3 linked regions of the Caenorhabditis elegans genome follow. The protein of the gene in region 1 interacts with the protein of each later gene in a pairwise test. Each region holds a gene or a part of one and is shown in the gene's direction. Other genes may lie near its edges.

Region 1 (7,160 bases):
CATTTGGAATACAAAAACCACAAAGTTGGAAAAAGTTGTGAAAACTGCGAGATCAGAGTGAGTGAAATTAAGAAACGATATTACAAAAAAGTGTTTCAAAAATGTTTCAAAATTTTTTGTTAGAATTAATCAAAAATGTGATATTATAGAATATAGAATTTTTGTTACCATCATTAGCCAGACGCAAAAGTTAGCGATTTTAGTTCCAAAGGTACAGCACCTGCCCTCGACACGATATATTTCAGTTAATTGCGAAAAGGCGTGCGCCTTTAAAGAGTACTGCGGAATTTTAATTTCTAAATCTTTCGATAAAACTACACTTAAATAAAAACTTTGAAAAAATGTAAAAAAATATGGCAGCAACAAGCGTTTAAAGTTACAGTACTCTTAAAAGATGAATATGTATTTAATAAAAAATTATCGTTTCGAGATACCGTAATTTTGAATGAAAATCGAAAACTTGGGAAATTAAATCCGCTTCCAGAGTACAATGCCCCAATTCTGCTCTCAAAAATGTTTTTTTTTCAGTTCGGCTCAAATAATGTCTCTGGCATGGAATCCGTCAGGCCGAGGTCTTCTAGCTTGTGATCGTCAGAAGACTTGTACACTCTGGAGATGATCTTCAATGTATGAAATTGAATATAATTGTACAGAATCATCATCTGTGTTATAAATGTGCATATCCATTTTTAAAAAAATAGTTTTACCCGCGTTTTTCATGTTTTCTTTCAGATTTTTCATTATGAACATTCGTTTGAAATAGAAAAAAATTGTATGATATTTATACATTTTAATTTAAACCGGTAATCCTCAAAAAATGCCTGAATATTACAAATTCTGTGTTATCACCACCTATCCCTTGTATTCTATGAACATAAAATGCACATTTTCTTATCATTTCACCTGGTTGGCTGACTGACAGTCGTTTGGAAACATTCGAGTTTTCTTAAATTTTCTATAGTTTCTGATGCTAACCTATGAAAATCAGTTCAAAATGATGACAAGAATACAGGAAATTAATAATTTCTGTTCCCGCAGCATGATGATATTTTTTGCCGATGAATAGTCCTAATTCTTCGTCATTGAAAAAAATTTGCTCCTTTCGATCTGAATTTGAAAAAAGTTTATTAAAAAAAGTATATTTCAAATATTAATGATTTCTGATTATTCTGCATTGCCAGGAAAATATTTTCATATAAACTTGTGAAAAGATGTCAATTTCTGAAAACAATTCGGCCAGTTTTCTGAAGCAGTATTTTACATATCTTCCAGGGTTCAAAAGATTAGTACTCTCAATGAGTCGCAGACAGCTTAGTTGTTTTTTCTTTCGTATTAATATACTTACATTTTCTTTTATCTCTAATTCTCTTACATCCACCTTTTCCGCAATCTCTGCCACTGTCGGCGATCTCTTGTTCTCGCACGTTTCTCTCTAATTCTATAACGAACGTAAATCTTTATTCTCTCTATTATTTTTATATATATTTGTGTGAAATATTCAAAACTTGAGTATTTAAATTTTTTGAAAAACCATAAGTTCAATGTGATAATTTGAAATTTTCCCATCACGTTTTCGATTAGACAGAATGAAGTTTCCGTTCCAGTGACTATAAATAGGCGAAATTTAATTGAAAATAGTTTTGCATTATTTTCAAACCACAGACTTTTTATTCATACATATATTTGAAAATATTAATTCAGTGAATTGCAAATTTAAAACTCACATTTCTTTAAAATTAATGAATCAATTTTCTATCTCTTGCCGTAACAAATAAATAAATCCATATATTAATATCTTCTCCCCTTTGTCCAGCCAATTTCTCATCTCCTCCAATTAGCCTCTTCCCACCTTTCTCTCTTCTTCATTTTCCCCCAATTCTGTTCTTATCAGTACTAACCTTGTTCGGTCCTTTCTCTCTCTAACCTCTCTCTTCTCTTTTTCTTACTCTCTACCATTGCCGCACACCTCCATTCATTTTCACTTTAATCAAATATGTCTACGGACCTTCTCTATGAATATTTCTATCCACCTACCGATTTATTCAAAAATACTTTTGAAGACGTACCACCATCTCCTGAGTCTCTGGACGTTGGTGATTCGTTAGGATCATCTCCATCTTACGATCTTGGATTCCAACCATCATTCGATATTGACTTCTGCATTTGGAAAGAGGGATCTTCATCACCTCCACCGGAATCGAATCATCTCCCAGAGATTGTAAATAAAGCTTCAACATCTCCACGTGGAATGCCATCTCCATTAACTGACAGTCGAAGTTGTCATGTCTGTTCATCTCCCACTGCCAATACTCTACATTTTGGAGGTCGTTCTTGTAAGGTAAGCAATATGATCAAGAAAAAAATATTTCTCGTATCAATTATTAATTAGCACTACTCCGAAAAAATGAACATTTTTTGTTTTTACAAGTGTTGTACTTTCGTTGTTGTTGTACAATATACATTTTTTGTTTTCTGGATAACAATTGAATTTGCATCGGACATTATTACCCAGGCCCACGGTATCCTGCCTCAGCGCAACATATTTTTGTTAAATTCGAAACGTTGTGCGTCTTTGAAGAGTACTGTAATTTCAAACTTTTATCATATTTTTTATCATTCAAACTCGTAAAATCAACATTTCTAGACTTGAATTTTTGTTCTAAAAACACCGATAAACCGTTGGTTTCATTAGTGATAATTGTGAAAAAAGGTCCTAAAGTATTTTAAGGCGTAATAATATAACTATGCTTTGAAAATGTGCCAAAATTTGTAACATGCTCGCCACGTGTTTTTATTGTTATCCTGTGTTATCTAGAAGTGTATTGTAGTCAGGTATTTTCTTTTTCCGTCTGCGTATTTCGACGAAACATCACTTATTTTTGTGGCCATTTGTGGTATGTGTCTCACACTATTTGTTTTTGTAGTCTTAAGTGTAGCTAGAATGACAATAGAAGATCTTCATCTGATCGGATGTTTGAACACACCACAGTACAGTTCCTGTTTAGAAACTAGCTCCTTTTGACCAAGTTTTGTATGATAATCTTACTGAAAACCACGAACAAATAGAAAAAGTTGTTGATAACGTACATCACACTTTGCATGCTTTATGTTTAAATAAAGAGAAAATGAAAAGTACAATTTGCATCACTAATACCTCCGGAAACATGTTTCTCACAATTTAATTGGAATAAATTTAATAAATGAGCATATTTTCAGGCATGTGCAGCATTTTTCCGAAGAAGTGTTTCAATGTCAATGACTTACGAATGCATTGGCACTGGAGATGACACAAATCCGTGTAGAACCCATTACGAGCTCAGAATGATATGCCGTCACTGTCGGTTCATCAAATGTTTAGATGCCGGAATGCGCAGAGAACGTGAGTGATCATTGACAAGGTCATTTGTCACATGTTCAATTGGCCAAAAAGTCCGAGGTACAAAAAACAGTAATTTGTTGTTTTGCAGTGGTGCAAGCGAGAAAAGAAGAGACGAGAGTTGCAAAACGACGTTCCAAGGGATTGGTTGTATCGAAAAAGGAAGATGACGATGTTGAATCTTCGTATGATGAGTATGTAAATACATATACAAATGTTCAAGGTTAGTTTCTAATTTATTTCGAAAATATTTTTGAAGCCCTCGACTGGGAAATTTTTTAAACCCTCTCCTATGGTAATAAAATTCCTAAGTATAACAGTTTAACGTTTCAAAAAATTTTTTAAATTTTTTAGTTACCGTCAAAAGTGGGCAAAACTCAGTTTTCATCTATCACAGTTTTTGGAAGTTGACCAAAAAAAATATTTATCTACAAGTCCTTTTTTTTACAGCGTTTTAATTGTTTTAATTGGAAAAATTCCAGGGTTCCAACTTGTAACAATTTCTACAATTTTTTGAAAATTTGGCAATTCACCAAAACTGAGGTTTTTTAAACTCTTAATCTTTTTGGAAAGTTTTTATGAGATTCGGTTATGTTAGAGTATTATAAGTGTATCTATCCCGACTGACGATACTTTAATAATACCATTTGTTGTTTCAGATTCGAGCCCGAAAATGGAATCAGGGATTAATGAAATGACGATTCCTGAGTCATACCTTTCACCGGATCCTTCATCTTCTCAACCACTTGATATGACAGTAACACCTCCACCACTGCACCGTTCAACTCCATCCATACTTCTTACTCCAGCAACTGGTGACCGTATGCACTGTCAACGTGTGCTTTCCAATTCTCCTCCATTCGATATACACCAGGCAAGCACCAGCCATGCAGGATTTATTCAACATGTACAGTTCTACCCAGTCGTTGAAGTTGAAAATAAAATTTTCGAATTAGTTGATCATTATGTAAGAACAGAAGCTTCATTGAATGATCGAAGGAAAATAATGTACACGGATACTCAGATAAGAGATGTTTTCGATACAACTTGTGAATGTGTGAGTTTTCAATGCACCATATCCATTTCTCACAATATTCTCTTTCAGCCCTACGAAAATCATCAGCTGAAACCTTTCAACTATAAATCATTTTGCGGATTTGTAAAGCACGACTTTGTTATGATTCTTGATTACGTGAATCAATTTCCGGAGTTTCAAGCTTTACACAAAAATGACAAAAATGTGGTCTATCGAATGGCTTGCGCCGTAGATTCAATGCTTGCATCTGCCTATTATAGCTATAAGTGAGTATTTAATGTTCAAAAATTAGATTCAGTCAGTTTTTCTACAGAGTTGGAATAGAAAAAGAACGTCTAATACTTTTCAATGGTGACTATATCAATATGAATCCGATTCCAATAAGTGGAGATGAGCCAGGCGCGGGAACAGAGTTTCAAACCCCGCAAGAACATGAAAAGTACAAGTGAGTTTGCTAAACTTTTTTAAATCTCAGTAAATTGTTATCTTGCAGAACCCTAATGCCACTGAAGCTAAAACAATATTTCGATCTGGCAATTCCGTTCGCTCGACTAGAAGTCTCATTTGAAGAATACGTACTTCTGAAAGCTCTCATAATTTGGCAAATCAGTAAGTAAATAATATCTACAGTAAAGTTTTAAAATTCTCGTTTCAGGTAACTATCGGTTACTAGAGGAGGGACGAGCAATTTGTGCACGGCAACGAGACACAATAGTTCAAGCCTTGCATAAAGTAGTTGAAGAACGAGGTGATGAGGATCCAGCTATTCGAGTTGGTCAGCTTCTTCTGAGCATGAGCTATATAACGGTTGGTTCCATCATCAATTTGTTATGAAAAATTAAATGAGTTTCAGGAGCAAGTACAAGCAATGACAAACTCTTACCTTGTAATGACTTTCTTTGATGTTGTATCCTGTGATAGTATAATGTACGACTTACTATCTTTCAGGTAACAAAATTCTAATAATTTCAAAGTTTAAATGTTATCAAATTATTTCAGAGACGACTGAAACAACCATCGTGAAGGTTCTACTTCATTCATCTGACTTTTAACGACTATTAACTTACATAGCTTTATCGCGTAGCTTTTGTATTTAAAATTGTGACATTTTGTTTATATTCTGTGATTTTCTTTTTTTGCCATATTCGTTCAAACTCTCAATTCAGATCTTTCAAAACATGTGTAAAATTGAACTCATTTCAGTTGTATTGATATACATTTAATAATTAAAAAATTTATTCAACACTTGACACATGACTAGGGCTATAAGAAGTCACCGAATCATCCACATAAACCGGAAGAACGAAATATTGCCAATGCGATTGTGGAACCAAATATGGTTTGCTCCAAAGACGTTGCAAGTCACCCGTTGGTGGAGTCGAGTCAAGAGGAAACCTGAAATAGAATGGATTAGAGATTATTGAGAACTATGAATTCACCATTCAATAAGAATATTGTGATTCAACGTTGGAGATTCAGCTCTAGTACATTGCTCGACTTCTATCTGAAATTTCGACTGTTTTTGGTAGCTCTAGATGTAGTTTTCACCGAAATTTCTTTGCCGGGAGGAATCAAAAACTTCGATGGATACAACTTGTAGAAGCCAGTGGTTGACAACAGAGCTCTACAAAAAATGAACTGTATTTAAAATAACCAGAATAATTTTCGCTGCAGACCTCAACGCCAACCAATCATTGTTCCTATTGTTCTTCACATTCAATATAGACAATCCAAGCCGTGGGACATGGAATGGCTGAAAATAAAATAATGTTGCAATATATTTCACTTTAATCATTCTCACTCTCGGATGGATATATGTCATTTCATTAAACTCGCTCTCGATTCTCGTCTCACCAGATTGAGTACTCAGAATAGTTGGAGCCACCTGGCTTGGGGTCTCCTCGCTGATTCGTGGAATTGGATCAATATTAGGCTTCAATTTACTGAGCAGGTATGTTTGGATGACAAGCAACATATGATAAACCAAAATGAAGAAGTGTGACAGCTGAATCAGAAGTTTCGTTCAATGTTGGAATAAGGCTATCGGAATACCATAAACTGCCAAATTGCTCCATTTAGTCTACAATAGCCAGGTTCATGATCTTTGTGCCAGAGACAAACTGTAGAAAGAAAGCATTCATAAACAAATATTGGGACTGTAATCAGCTTGAAAATAGCAAGGAAGAGTGCACCAAACTTGTTGATATACTTTCGATCTTTCTGAAAATTAAAAGATATGGAATGGACTAGAATTAAAAAACTTACAACATAAATGAATAAAGAAAAATCGAAAATGAAGAATATCAAGGGAAATGAGAAATATAAAGATGGACCGATTCCAGCATCGAAAATCTAAATTAATTTGGTTGGCCTGTGATTACTGGCGTTTTACCTGATACAAGAAGTGCCGTGGTGTTGTGAAAACTCCTTTTGGATGTTTCATGCAAACTTTTCGAAATGGAAAGTATATGGTTACCAATGATAGAAGGAGGAATAGTGACTGAATAAATGTTTTCTGGAATAAACTATACATTAAATCCCAACCTTTGCCCATAAAATAGTCGTCATTCTACTCTCCTCTGGTATCACAATATTATATTTCGGTAAATATTTCACTGATTTCATATAGAATGTGACTAGCAGAAGAACCACACACGAGAGCCCAACATGACCAAAGACTAGCCACCAAACTTGGGACATTGTCCATAATTGTGTCAACTCGGCCATTTTTCGCTTCTCCGGAGCACA
Region 2 (7,160 bases), 680 kb from region 1:
TACACCTTCACTATTCTCCTTTGATAACTCATATCCTAATTGCCTTTGGTTTTTATTTCAAAAAGATTTTCAACTGGAAAAGTGTGGAGAAAGATTTCGGGCGTATTTCATCAGTTAAATTTATTTTGATTAAACTAAAGACATTTGAGATATACACTGTCAAAGTGATTTTTCACAAATTGATTAAAGCAAGATAATTAATTGCTGTCGCTATGGTAATTGAAAATATCAAAAGCCTTATATTTATTTCCTTATCCCTGTCAATGCCTTCCGGGATGCCATCTATTTGCCCTGTATATGTCCATTATGACCTAATACGTCCTTCTTCTCACAGTCTTGTTGTGAACACCTGTTCAGTGTTTACATAATGGGAGTTTGTTTCAAATATTGTGCAATTGGAAGATAATGAAGTGGTGTCAACAGACACTGTCGGTGGAATTCAGAAAAGAGGTGTGGAATCAACTGTATTCTGACACCTACTTCAATGGGATTACAGGTGCAGTCTTACGCGGATTATGGTATTGGATCGGGGTGTGAAAGAGTAACCGGAAAATAGAAAAGAAGACATTCACTTATTTTTCTGGAAAAAAAATTACCTAGAGGTATTCATATTGGGTTTTTCATTAAACCAGTTCATTTTAACAAAATAAAAATTCAAATAAAGAATCTGAAGTATATTTGTTAGTTAGTTTGAAAATTATCATTTTTCTTAATTAAAAAAAATCTCAAAATAATTTTCTTTATTGAATTGTGTATGAGCAGAAAATTGGTGCGTATTTCTGAGACTTATATAAAAATGTAGAAAATTGATTGTTAACTAATTAAGCAGTTGAAAATTTATTTTGAAATTTCCTTGTTTCCAATATGTGATTGCTCGAATGTTTAAAATTTGGAAAAATGCGGTTCTGGCAAAAAATAAACTTCAGACATTTCAACTTGTAAACCTGCTCGCGGAATTGGCCGACTTGGCTTAAAACAAAGGAATTTATCTGTTAACTTTTGGTTCGTAACAAAGAATAAATTACTTTTTTTTTTCATTTATTTTCCTAGAATCCACGATTTGAACCGGAATATTCAAGACCCCCAGGTCCTTAACTTCTTTTTTCCCTGAACATATTTTGTAAATCATATTTGACAGAGACATATTACATTCACAACCTTTGCCTCTTGAGTTGAAATCGAAAACAATTATTGTGAAGAGCCGAAAATGCACACAGATGCTCTCAACACCTTCAGTGGCTTCTTCAATTTCTTTTCAACAAATCATCATCATCGTTTACATAAATATGTATTTATATTCATCCCATCATTTTCTCCATTGAGCATATTGAGCACAAAAGCATCACAATGCTTCTTGTTTACAGTAATCGCGTGAAGAGGATAGATGAAACTAAGGGAAGAGCTAGTACACATTAGTAGAGACTAATATGTCACACCTGCAAAACAATCTTACTGTAGAATTAGGATATAAAGTGTTTCTTAATACCAGGAAGCAAAGAAAACATCTGCGTTGAGTGCACTGGGTGGCAAAATGTTTTTAGATGATGAATAAATGAAATCAGTTTATTAAATGTTGCATGTTTTTTCGAAATTTTATCACATGACTGAAAAACAATTGAAGTTGAAACAGATGAAAACGCTGTGATATTGTTAGTAGAGTAAATTTTCTCGCAAGTTTATCTAACTTTTTCTTAAATTCCTTGCGCATTTTCACAATTTTTTCGACCTTCACGGTTTTCCAACTTTCTCATGGAGTTCACCAGAAAATGAAGATGTGCATGAAAACACTGAAACAAAATACTGAGTTAGTGAGTTGTAATAGTGAGTTGTAAAACTGATTATTGACGGCTTCTAATAAAAATGGTACACGATCAAGTGGATTCAAAAATGTTCACAAAAAGCCTAGTTTCATAGGACTTTCTCAAAAATTTTGTATGCCGATATAATTTTGAAAGAAGTCGTTGACAATTTAGGTTATTTGAACCATTTTGCGTATATTATAGGAAAAAGGTTAGAAAAGTTACTCTTCAAGATATTCAAAGTCAGAGTTCAAATGATATTCGGGATGTGAATTTCTCAAATTAATCGATGTCGGGTGCTCATTCAGAGCAATGTTTTCAAAATTTTCGTTATTCAAAGTCTCAACGACGACTTTCCCTGGCGAGCTCACCAATGAACAATTAATCTTATTCAATGTTTTTACAGTTAATGTTCCAGACAATTTCAGCTGTTCAGTAGAATTCAGACAGGAAACAGGTTCATTTTTACACGAGGTGTCTACGTTTTCTGATAGATCTGCATAGGTTATTATAACGTTTTGGAGTGTGCCAGAGTGTATCTGTTATCTCCAGAATTCATTGGTAATTAAGTTAAATTTTGCACCAAACCAGGAAATTTGTGGTTCTTATGTATCTGTTCTTGGACGTTAAATTCGCGATCACTACTTCGAAAATGTACGCTCAACCCCATGCTTACAAATTTTACTTGAGCTCTCTTGTAATACACTTGTTCAGAAGTACACCCGTTCTCTTCTCTATCACAGATTACCTATTTTCATATTTAATGTGTAAAAGGCCATGCCGAAATCCAATCAAAACACAAGCATGAGCTTTTGCATTCGCAAATTCTAATTACAAGGGGGTGTCCACAACCAACACTCTTCTCCATATGTTATGATTATTGTTGTTAGCATACCCTTCCTTAGCCTCTTTAATACGTTTTGCGGTAATTTAAATTAGCATCTCAATCTCTACTAGTTATTTGTCATGATACCTTGTGATTATTACGCGGTTAGGCCCGATGCTTTTGTGGCAAACTTGTAATTATTCTGATGTTTAGAGAGCACACGATTTCAAATTGCAGCCTCTAAAATTGGTGTGTACGCGAATCTAGTAAGATGTAAACTTTATTGAAAACACTTTCAATTTTATTCTAAGAATTTCTTGTTGTGGTGGTTGGCAGGTGATTGATGGCTCGTGATTTGGCATATGGTGATGATATTGATTCCATAACTTCCATTCAAATCTTGAGAGAAGTTGCGCTACTTGCAGCAGGATAGGAATGTGTTCACATTTTTTGAACAAAATTAAAGTTTCAATGTTTTGTGGGTACAGTTTTTGAAAATGCATATCTCCAAGCGTCACCATTTTTCAACTCCGGAATTTTGAAATATGGCAACCATGGCCTAAAACAAAATGCAGGTCAAGTGGCTTATTTGATTTGATAGTCCCTACTCACTATCAGAAACTCGCCACACCTTCTCAAGAAAGGCTAGAAGCTTTTAACCAAGTTTAGCCAACTTTCGGTAGTTTTTCAGTGCTCATTTTTGGGATCATCCAAAATTTAACCAGCTTTACCTAACTTTTGCAACTTTTGCGATAACTTGCTAAAGTTGGTTGAAACGTTGCGACATACTGTCGAGTTATAGGCGATTAAGCAAAGAGCAGTTTATCCAGTTTTTTTCGATTTAAAACTATTTGATTACCGTATATTTTCAACATTCCTAAATATAGTGCCTTGTTATACACCCACTTGATTATTACCAAATTACTCAATGTTTTCTCACAGTCTCTTATTTTTTCTTTTCCTTCTACTACTATCTCTGGATATATCTGTTTCATTTGATCCTACAGTAACCCCTCTTTCCCCGACACCCTCTTCACAAAGGGTGGAGCTTCTTCCGGTTGGTGGTCCGCGCGAGCACTGATCGAAGAGCAAAAGGGGTGGGACTTGAGCATTCCTTTTGGGAACCATTACCTCTCATTCTGATATTATAACATTTCACCTTATTCACAACAAAATATTTTAAACAGAATGCCTGTTTCTCCGTCGTCAGTATCTGTGCTACCGCCAACTAGCCTCGAACAGATTCTTCGAATTCGTGCAGAGAGGAATCAAAGGACTCCGAAATGCGCGAGATGTCGGAATCACGGAACTACTTCTGCATTGAAAGGTTCGTATTTTAATATTCCATCAAAACAATTAACCATATTCATCAGTCTCATAGAATAAAAAATAAAAACCGAGATTCAAGCTGTCAAATTAAGCAAGACTACCAGAAAAATCATTTTGTTTAATCCTTAATCGAAGTACAAAATTTTTTTCAAGTGCATGTAATAGTTCCAGTAAAGCTTACTTCAAAATATAAGGGGACAATAACACTCGATGCTCCGGCTTCTGTTAAAACCATAAAATAAGTTGCTCTATAAGAACTTTCAATTTTTGGAAACACATCACCGATCTTGCCATCTTTGCGTGATTTGTGCTCTCGTGGAAAATCTAGAATTTAAATGTAATATTCCATAAACTTTCCAGGTCACAAACGTTACTGTCAATGGAAGGATTGTATGTGTGCAAAGTGCACATTAATTGCCGAAAGACAACGAGTTATGGCTGCTCAGGTTGCTCTTCGTCGTCAGCAATCTCAGGAAGAAAGAGACGCAAGAGATTTGGAAGTACTTCTGGGTTCTGCTGGAAATGGTAAGTCAGCTTATTTAAATATTCGGGGATTAAGCTGTGGAATGCTGGTGCTGAATCAGTGCATGTGTTTTTCCCGATCAAGTATTTCCGGTCATTTTTCATTCAAGTTGTGTCTTGAACAAGCTTCCCGCTGTGCTCGAGGTGCTAGACTAACTATTGGGTAACCTGACACTAATATGACCTATACTTGTTACAATACTAATAGTTCATTAGGGTCATCTTTGTATGCTCACACACCTTCTACAATGACACATTGTTCTCTTTTTTTATAGAATAACACGCTAACTTTTTATTTAATTTCTATTTTTTAGCGAATGATCTCCTCGATATTCTTCGTCTCGATGCCGGTGAACATCACGGGAAAAACCACGCTTCTCCGACGACCAACAACAATAATAATACTGGTGAGTCGACATGACAGCCTGTTCGAGACAGAGAAATGAGAGTGCGCTCTCTTCTTCCCGCAGTAATGTGAAGGCTACGGAGCGCCGCGTCGAATGGCCAGCACGATGGCCGAGTGGTTAAGGCGTTGGACTTAAGTTCCAATGGTGGATAACACCTCGTGGGTTCGAACCCCACTCGTGCTAAACTTTTTGCGTATTCGGAAACAGGTGCACTTTTACCCCATCTCCATAATCCCCGTACCTGGTTGCGTAAGTCAATTAGCTAGAGAGCACTGTAAGCTTTACGAGAAGCAGATGCATTTGAGAGGGATAAGCTATTCACAATATTGATGGGATTAATCTAGATTAGCACTTTACAAGTCAATTGCTCTCATTTAAAAGATTAACCTTAACTAACCTTGCACTACCTTTCAGAAGAAAAATACGAAGACTCACAGGGACAACGGAGTTCACCAAGCTCTCCAACAGGTTCTGAAACTGTTGTAAGCACTTCTTCCCCACCTGAGCTCTCATCTGAATCAACACCAAATACCAGTGGCTCAGTGATTCCAACAAGTCCAGTTTTCAAACCAAATGGATACTCTTCAATGCCAATGTTCAATCCTGTGTATGGAAGACCATTCATGAGATTTCCGAGTAAGAGAGCTTATTCAATATTATTTCGTAAATTAAACTTATTTTCAGTGTTTTCAGTGATGCCGCATTTCTTCGGAACTCCATCAATGTCAGATTTCGCATCTGCTGCGAGCCTCGCAGCTCCACCAGCGTTCTTCTCAGCCCAGCCAACAATTGCCACGTCATCACCGAGCACAATTTTCCCACAAACTGCTCCATTGGATTACAGTCATCGTTTAATGAAAAATGAGGAAGCCGAAGAAGAATACCGAGAAAATGATAAAACATTTTGAGAAATTGAATATTTTTTCTTATCGTCAGAATCAGAGTTCCAATACTTTGTATATTTTTATATGGTCACATTTAAAATTGTATTTATGATTTGTCTTCAATTAAAAAAAACTAAACTGAATAAAAAATCTTATTAAAATTGAAAAAGAAGTAGAAAACATTGAATAGAAAGATTTTTCGGTGGAAAATGAGCGGGGGGAAACACTTGAAGTTTGAACGGGAAAAGCAGTGTATTATGAAAAGAATTGCAAACGTTTTTGTTCTTTTTTTGATGTTTTTTAAAATGAATTTCAGATTAGCGATTTTAAGTGAAGAGTCTTAAGCAAATCAATTCAATATTTTGGTCAGTTTTAGGCAGTTTCAATGAATCAATTTAAAGAAAAAATGTCGAGAAGGTCTATCATCAAGAATAATAAGAAAATTATGGACAGAAACTAGAGAACTTGAGTGATTTTGGGGAGTTGTTTAAAAGAGAAAAAGTTGTTTAAAAATAATGAGAGCTTATTGTCCGGATTGGATGGTCTTCTGGGTGTGTGTTGCACGCTCCTCTCCATCCTTGTTCACCAATGACGTCACAACATTGGCTCCGATTCCCCAGGTGTTCTCTCCATCGAAGACAAGAGACTCTGGTGGGTTGTTGATGCCTCCTTGGTCACGGGCGTAGATCTGGAAATTTATTGGAATTGGAATATTCTCTTTTCGAAATTATGTAGATTAGTTTCTCAGCAAATGCGAGAAACCCTTAGACTAACCCGAAACGATTAAATTTCATAATGAGACCTCTCAGAAAATGTTTCCAAATTTCTTATGGTGGCTCAAAACTTGGGGAAAACATTTTCAAATTTCTAAAACCTGTAACTCTGATAAAGAGCATTAGAGAAATAACAACTGATTTTCCGATATTGCTACATGGACAATCTCACAAAATTTCAGATTTTAGCAAAATTTGGCCATTCCCTTTCAAAATTTTTTTTTTGGAAATTTTCAGGTGAAAGTACGTTTTTAACGGGCTTCAGACTATGTTGGCTGGGTTTCTCAAAAATATAGTGGCAGACTAAAAAAATACTAAGAATATTTACATAGCTACACACTTTTTTCTAAAACAATGATAAAAATAACTTACGGTCAAGTTCTTTCCTGGCTTGATAACAACATTGGCTGGAATGGAATAGACAATTTCGCGTCTTCCATCCAACTTTCTTCTGATTTTGTGCTCACCAACATTCTCATCCTGAAATAAAATTTTCAACATTTCAAAACCAAAAAGCTTCAACATACCTTGTTTCTGTGCGAGTTCTCAAGCTTGATGAACTTTCCATTTGGATCACACTCGGAAATTGTCACATTTCCCTTGGCGGATCTTTGGAAGGT
Region 3 (7,160 bases), on another chromosome or scaffold:
TGACTGTTCCCATTCATTCTAGTCCGAATTTATTAAGAGTGGATTTACATACATAGAACTTTGCCTACGTGCCTGGGAGTTTCTATTAAATAATTTTAAAGAAGTTCGCCGCATTCTAGAGCAGCCTGACAGTTCTCAAATAAAGCTTTGAAAATATTTTTCCGACGAACAGTTTCCGAACTTTTCAATTTTCCAAAGATACATTTTTCTAAAAAACACCCGAATTATTTGTTCATTAAAACTAATTATTTCGTCACTCGTAATATGAATAAATGGAGTAAAATTAGAGAAAAAAACAGGTGAATGTTCGTAGTTTTTCCTTTAGTAAGCCATGATCTCATAGGTCTCAATCGTAATATTGGATTGAATCAGAAAATTATTCAGTTACTAGTGTGAGAGTGTGTTTTTATTTGGGTGTGTGTATTTAGACATAAAAGTAGTGGCGGCAGGTGGAAAATTGGGATTTGAGAGCAAAAATCTAGATGAAGAAAAAATTATGTTTGCAAGCACACTTTGTTGGAAAAATTCGATTAGGTCTTGATCTACTAGAGCGGAGAAAAGATTTGATAATAAATTAGGCGTTTAAAAACTTTTTGCGTAATATCTACGTAGGTTAAAAAGAATTTAATCAAAAAATGAAATGCCACCAAAGATTGAGAAGAGTTTAGAATTTTATAAAAAATGGCTTTCACACAAGTTTCGTAGAAAAAATTGAAAAAAAAACTGTGGTATTCGGAAAAAAGAACCCAAAATCAACATGAAAATACTCAAAAAATGTCCCCACCGAAAAATTCTATAGTTTATAATATACATTTTAAAATCAAAAATAAATATTAAAGTATTCTTTTTAAAAAAACTTGCATTGCCGGCAATTGCCTAATATAAGGTAATTGTTGAAAAACCCAAAAAAATCTGAAAAACTGACGGAAATTTGTTATTCAATCGCGAATTGTTCGAGGTTCTTAAAACAATATTTTCGAATCAATCAGATATTTTTACATTTACAGAAAATTATCATACCAAAGTGGGCACTTTTGTGGATTTGCCACACCCCTGGTTTTGAATTCAAATATAAAAAACCAATATTTGATGGTTTTACAACTTTGAAACTTAAATCTGAATTTTAAGGATTCATGCATATGTACAGTACATAGCTCATTGCACATTTACACGTCATCATTTCGAATAATTTTTAATCCTTTCAGATCATCCAATTCTTTATCCACTTGTGACTTTTTTTCCCAATCACGTCAAAAAAGTTTTAAGACGCTCCAACTAATTATCGAATCCACTCGGCTCAATCCGGATAATCCTCTCACTCCCCCCGCCCAAAGCGATTATTCGATGAACAAATGATCTTTATCACTATAATCATCGTCAAAGCTATCATCATCAGAAGGTGATAAACTACATAGCTCCGCCTTTTCCGTTTTTAAGCATCTACGCTTTTTTTGCTAGAAAAGGCTAAGAGGGCGGGCTCTCCTTAAAAATTGAGGATATATAAAAGATTGTTTTCTAAAGCTGTGATGTGATCAAATAGTTATGATTGGGTGCATTTTTTGTGTCATAATCTTTGAAAATATTTGTATTTTTTATTTGTTTAGATATTTTCCAATTTCTAGCTCCGACCTTCTGATTTAAATGAAACATGTGACCTGCGAAGAATTTGAATCAGAAGTTTCATAATTCCGGCTTCGGGTCAGAAAACCCACAAATCATATTCTTAGTTTTTTTTGAAGGAAAGTGGTAGGTATTTAATGTTTCTGTATTGATTCTCAGAAAGTTAGTTACATCAGGTTTAGGTACCTACATAATTGTTCAAAATATGATAGTGGCAAGTTTTTAACATGTGTTTCAGTGGAGAAAAGTATGAATTCTTAGAAATTGCATTAAAAATAACAAACCTTGAGATACCATAGTTATGTTAACCTTCAAAACAAGTACCGTATTTCCACTAGTAGTAATGCACTTTACTCTTAAACTTTGGCAGCGTTTGTCGTAGTTTTTGTTCGTTCTATCGAAAAATTGTCAACTGATAAATAATTTGTTTGATTTTTTTTTCTATAGATTCGCAGTTATCTTACAAACGAACAGTGGTACAATCTTTTAAATTTAAGCAGTTTCAAGTGTTTTAATTTTTTGTGGTATTAGACGTTATTAAGAGCAATTTATGTTCATGGCTATTCCCATAAAACCTCAAAATTAGTTTCATTTTTGATCTTCTTTTTTCCAAACATTGAGACTTCCTTGAAAATGACAAATAATTGGCTTCCATTTGCATGTAAAATATGTATAACGTTCGATCATATTTAAACTTTAAAGCACATTAGCCTGTGAGCTTTGATATCTGACTAACAGAAATATGTTAGACACAAAATTCGATTGCTCTCAATTTTATATTTGAAACTTTCGAAATTTTCACCAATTAAAAATTTTACACTTAAAACTCAAATTGTTGAAAATAATCTAATAGGTTGTAGTAAATTGGAGCAGCTGCAGAAATCGAGAAGGAAAATTAAGTTTCAGATTTTTATTTTAAATTCTCACTTTTTCATTTCTGATATGCAAAAATGTGATTAAATAAAATCCTCCAGACATTCATTATCTACGTCTTCCCATCTGATTCCATTCATCTTTCATAATCCGATTAGCAATTTCAACATTTCCTGGAAACACTGATCTTTAAAAATTAATCCTTTTCATTTTTGTTTCGTCTGACTCATTTAATAATATCTACACTGATATACCTGCACAACACACTGACTACTATTATTACTTTTACTACTACTATGACTACTATAATCTACTAATGAGTGGTAAATTTTGAGCTTTGATCATTCGTTCACATCCCTTGGTAATTGGAGAGAAGCAGTGTATTTTCATATTCCCAGACTCACACGTTTTTGAATTTGTCTGCAATAGTGAAAACTTTAGTTTCTATAATTTACCATTCAGGGGTATCAGCATTTTATTGCACCCAGTAATTTTAGATAATTTATGGTTTGAATCTGTTTTTGTCCAACTTGATCTGATAAACTTAGAACAGTAAGTTCTACAATTGCCAAACTTTTAATTTTTTACCTCTTTACATTTTTCAACATTTTTACATTTTTTGATTAATCTTTATTTTCTAGATGGACACCCATCTTCCATTCCAAACTTTGCCAGTTTCAACGCCGCTGCCTGTGTCTTCATCATCTCTAACAGGTAACATCAAATCCATTTTGAAATGTGCTCTTACACAAAGCTCCTTAATATCCAAATCGCATTCCCCCACACCATTTAATGATTTCATGACTGAAAACCATCTGTCAAACACGACAATCATCCGATTTTCATTGCTGATAAGCTGATTTCGGGAATGATGATGATAAGATTTGTTAGACTTATTCAAAAATCGAGAAAGATGAGAAGCTGTATGGCTGACATATCATTTTATGAATTCAGACGTTCTTCAAACAATTGCTGCTTTACAAGCCTGTCCCACATCCTGTATACCTTCAACATCAACTGGAATGCTTTCACCGAATCTTCCCTTCTCGGCTACAATTCCACGTGTCAACTTGTTCCCACCATCACAACCAGCCAATTCTTTAATACTGCCAACAATTCCAGCACAGGTGAATGATTTTCGTATTTTCAAAAAACCTCTTAACCCCTTTTGTATTTTCAGCCTTTTATTCCAAATCCATCTCTCCTGCAAGCCAATCCATCTGCTGTCGAAGCTCTTGCAAATGCACTTTTTGCAACAACAAGCCGTCGGGCTTCTTGCCCAGAACCTCCTGCATCCTCTCAAGCAACCGTCACGCTTCAAGTCCCATCTACGGGTTCTCCAGAACGACGACGTTATTCAGAAACAAATATGGAGGTTCTGCTACGTGAACAACTTGCACAATTGATGCCTCCAACCTCTCAACTACCCGGAATGCCTGGATGTTATTATCAACATGTTCCAGCTGCTGGAACTTCAGGAATTCAAGGATCATTAGATGCGGCGTTAATGGGAGCTGTTCCCTTGGCTATGAATAGTATGGCACATAGTCGGAGAGCAGCAAATCATAGAAAAGCAAGGTAAGGAGAATAAACCAGCAAAATGACACATCTTTGTAGCATACTCTATCAACTTTTTATCAATCTTTAGCACAAAATCTGCAGCTTTTCAGAAAAGAGCTTTTTGACAAATTTTCATTTACATTTCTTTGAAGCTGTGGCGTTTTTTTTCGAGAAGAAGAGCACAATATACTTGTATACTGGCTTCTCGCCTCAAAAATTGAACAAACCAGTTTCAGAAAACTTTCATAAAAAAAGTCAGAAAAATTGTCAACGAATCATAGAACCATCAGGTGACTCATTTAAGATTTTATAAGCTTTATCAAATCCTTTGACGAAATAAACATTTACTTCATTTCCGAAAGGAAGTTTTTTGGCCTCTGACTTGAAGTTTTTAAAAATATAATTTATTTATCTTTAGAAATTCTTAATCAATCTAAAATATAACTTTGACGCAAAACGAAGTTCGTGGGATAATTCATACGTGCCGAATTGAAAAGAAATTGTTGGTTCCCACAGTAAGAAGCTGAAGAAGATTGTTTTAAGATTCTAAACTAAAGATCAAACAAATTCAAAGTTTTCAGAACAATCTACGGTACAACACAAACTCAACAACTGGAAGATATGTTTAAAGGACAAATGTACGTAGTCGGAGCAGAACGAGAAAATCTTGCTCAACGCCTTGGCCTATCACCTTCTCAAGTTAGAATTTGGTTTCAAAACCGGAGAAGCAAACATCGTAGGAAACAACAAGAGGAGCAACAGAGCACGACGTTAGAAGAAAAATCTGAAGAAATTGGAAAAGATGAAGAGGAAGATGATGAAGAAGATGAAGATGATGTAAAAGTTCTGAATTAATTTAATTTTTTTTTTCGTGTTTACTTGTTTATTTCCTGCCATATTCTGTTTTAGAAAATAATTAGAAAAAATGTGTATATTCTTGATTATAAAGCATTAAACAAATAAAGTTTTATGTGAACTTACTTGATAGGTTACGTTATCAGGAAATGGTTCGGTGCTTCAAAGAAAATGTGAAATCTTACAAGAAAGCTTAGCGAATGGCTTCAATTTTTTCTAACTCAATAAATAATCAATATTTTACAAAAAAAGTATTGCGAACAAGAGGTAAAATATTTCTGATCACTTTGTTAGTTGAACATTTGGTTTTTAGACGTGTATTTTTCCAGATACGCCAGTTTGAAGATACGCAATTTAGCGAGTCCTTGAAGTTTTGTGGATATATTTAATTTTGCATACGACCAACTTTTGAAAAAAAAACAGTAAATTCCACTGAACAAACCGTAATTTTCCACATTGAACAACTTATAAATAAAGTCTGTGTGATAAGTTGCCAAAAATTGTGTGTTTAATCGAAATTTCTGATAAAATTCAAGTTATGCCACCAACCAAAAATTGGTTTGAGAAACATCTTGTCTTTGGAATTCTACATTTCAACAAATTTTAAAAATTATACAGATTCTCTTAGACAAGTGTTTTAGAAAAAAATAGCTTTCAATTGCCTCTTGGACGGTTCAAAGTGACAATTTGAGTGTAAAATTTTCAAGTTTTAGCTCCATGTTCCGCCATGATTTTGCCATTTCATGATGGTTTAAAAACCAAAAAAAAACCAACTGAACATTTATTGACTGATTTTGAGTAATATTTTAGAAGAGAATGAAAAAGAAATTAAAAATATGAGAAAGAAAATTTGCTGTGAGGATTTTTGAAAATAAAAAAAGAAACAAAACGGGGAGACTGAAAGATGTCTGGGTCTTCTGAAACATAAGAAAGTATGAGCCGAGAAGAGATGACAAAAATTGGAAACAAACCTCAAGCCATGTATATATTTTAATGAAAGACAGGGACAGGGAAAAATGGGATTAAGTTTAATTGAATGAAGAAAAAACAAACAAAAAAAATAAAAAAGAAAGAGAAGATCTCGTAGATTTCTGGCCTAAAACAGGAAAAGTGGATAAAAAAGGAAGTGGCCAACACTATATCACTATTGAAACAACGGAATGGGAAACCAGCTACTTTTACAGGACGCGGTGGTGGAAGAGTTTAAGCACGGGGATACTAGTTACAGAATTGGAATATGTTGAGTTGATTTGAATATTTTTTAAACATTGATCTAGGTTTAATTTTAAAAAAACATTATAATCAACTATGTTATCCAATTATTCGAAGAACACAGAACAAAGGACTTTGATTTTTGGAACGAGGATAAGTTGAGAAGACGTGGAATGCCTCGAATGGTCATGAAGAAGGATTGCTGCAGTAGATATTACTTGCACGGATTGTTTTGCAGGAATTTCTTCCATCTGCAACAAAACTATTCTACATATGTACATAAAAAGCCAAGCATTTTGATTAATGTAAAATTAATGTAGATTTCGGGCACCTACCTGATTTCATGACGAAGCTCCATTCTTTCGATATCAATGCACGCCAATTGAACATAGGTCTCGTTTTTCTTCACTTCAGATCCTAATCGAATCATTTGGCACTAAAATTATATTAAGTTTCTTCTAGGCGTATACAGTTGGAATCAAATACTGCTTCATTTTGGATACTAATGAACAAATATTTCAGCTACCGAATGTTCCATCCGGTTCCACCCGGCAGCTTTCTTATATCATTTAGTATTTTGGAATTTTACGATTTTTTCGTTTATAAGTCAGTACCCAATGTTTAACTCACATCAATATCAACTCGCTTATCGTGTACATCGTGAAGCTCATTGAGCCAAATCCTGGTCTGTGTTTCCACGTTTTCAATTTCCTTTGACAACTCTTCAAGTTCTTTTTGTTGACCTTTAAATTACTTTTTTAGTCTTATTCCTTCTACAGCTTAAACCCTTACCATTTGCCTTTGCTTCATCCAAAAGCCCTCGAATCTTCTTGTGCTTTTCCTTCAACTCTCCACCGGTAGCCGTCAAAATTGTCATCTGTGCCTCGTTCTGTTTCAGGTCCAAGGAGCAAGCCTCGAGTTGAGCACACAGTTTCTCGTGGCGTACCCAGCTTTTTTTCATTTCCTCTTCGCCCTCGTTTGGCTGAAAATTCCGTGATTTGTCCATACATTTTGATATACAAAAGAAACTTACATGTTTA

Evidence for each region.
Region 2: the proteins of nhr-22 (region 1) and dmd-5 interact in a two-hybrid assay, tested with the Caenorhabditis elegans proteins (one large-scale study listed by BioGRID).
Region 3: the proteins of nhr-22 (region 1) and ceh-23 interact in a two-hybrid assay, tested with the Caenorhabditis elegans proteins (one large-scale study listed by BioGRID).

The regions. Positions count from the first base shown.
Region 1 is NC_003280.10:6,444,622-6,451,781, reverse strand, and holds nhr-22 (Nuclear hormone receptor family member nhr-22), read left to right. Parts: upstream 1-1,989; 5' UTR 1,990-1,993; coding exon 1,994-2,338; intron 2,339-3,216; coding exon 3,217-3,379; intron 3,380-3,467; coding exon 3,468-3,599; intron 3,600-4,035; coding exon 4,036-4,433; intron 4,434-4,481; coding exon 4,482-4,678; intron 4,679-4,725; coding exon 4,726-4,857; intron 4,858-4,905; coding exon 4,906-5,021; intron 5,022-5,067; coding exon 5,068-5,219; intron 5,220-5,265; coding exon 5,266-5,360; intron 5,361-5,411; coding exon 5,412-5,421; 3' UTR 5,422-5,587; downstream 5,588-7,160. Other genes in the region: atg-16.2 (Autophagic-related protein 16.2), read left to right, coding at 1-57, 529-619; K06A1.2 (uncharacterized protein), read right to left, coding at 5,648-5,807, 5,852-5,916, 5,961-6,036, 6,089-6,165, 6,214-6,417, 6,465-6,632, 6,678-6,764, 6,805-6,912 and 1 more. UniProt on the Caenorhabditis elegans protein: Orphan nuclear receptor.
Region 2 is NC_003280.10:5,770,822-5,777,981, reverse strand, and holds dmd-5 (Doublesex- and mab-3-related transcription factor dmd-5), read left to right. Parts: upstream 1-3,761; 5' UTR 3,762-3,813; coding exon 3,814-3,952; intron 3,953-4,314; coding exon 4,315-4,479; intron 4,480-4,635; exon of another isoform or gene 4,636-4,750; intron 4,751-4,790; coding exon 4,791-4,883; intron 4,884-4,900; exon of another isoform or gene 4,901-5,095; intron 5,096-5,297; coding exon 5,298-5,519; intron 5,520-5,567; coding exon 5,568-5,791; 3' UTR 5,792-5,928; downstream 5,929-7,160. Other genes in the region: F10C1.1 (uncharacterized protein), read right to left, coding at 3,562-3,753; Intermediate filament protein ifb-1, read right to left, coding at 6,291-6,455, 6,913-7,020, 7,068-7,160. UniProt on the Caenorhabditis elegans protein: Transcription factor. Required for sex-specific synaptic pruning, probably acting downstream of sex-determining transformer protein tra-1.
Region 3 is NC_003281.10:7,836,460-7,843,619, forward strand, and holds ceh-23 (Homeobox protein ceh-23), read left to right. Parts: upstream 1-3,132; 5' UTR 3,133-3,134; coding exon 3,135-3,207; intron 3,208-3,447; coding exon 3,448-3,620; intron 3,621-3,673; coding exon 3,674-4,071; intron 4,072-4,634; coding exon 4,635-4,908; 3' UTR 4,909-5,032; downstream 5,033-7,160. Other genes in the region: ZK652.8 (uncharacterized protein), read right to left, coding at 6,335-6,371, 6,456-6,556, 6,751-6,863, 6,913-7,160. UniProt on the Caenorhabditis elegans protein: Probable transcription factor. Required for differentiation of AIY interneurons, acting downstream of LIM/homeobox protein ttx-3. Modulates gene expression, acting downstream of AMP kinase aak-2/AMPK signaling. Modulates lifespan.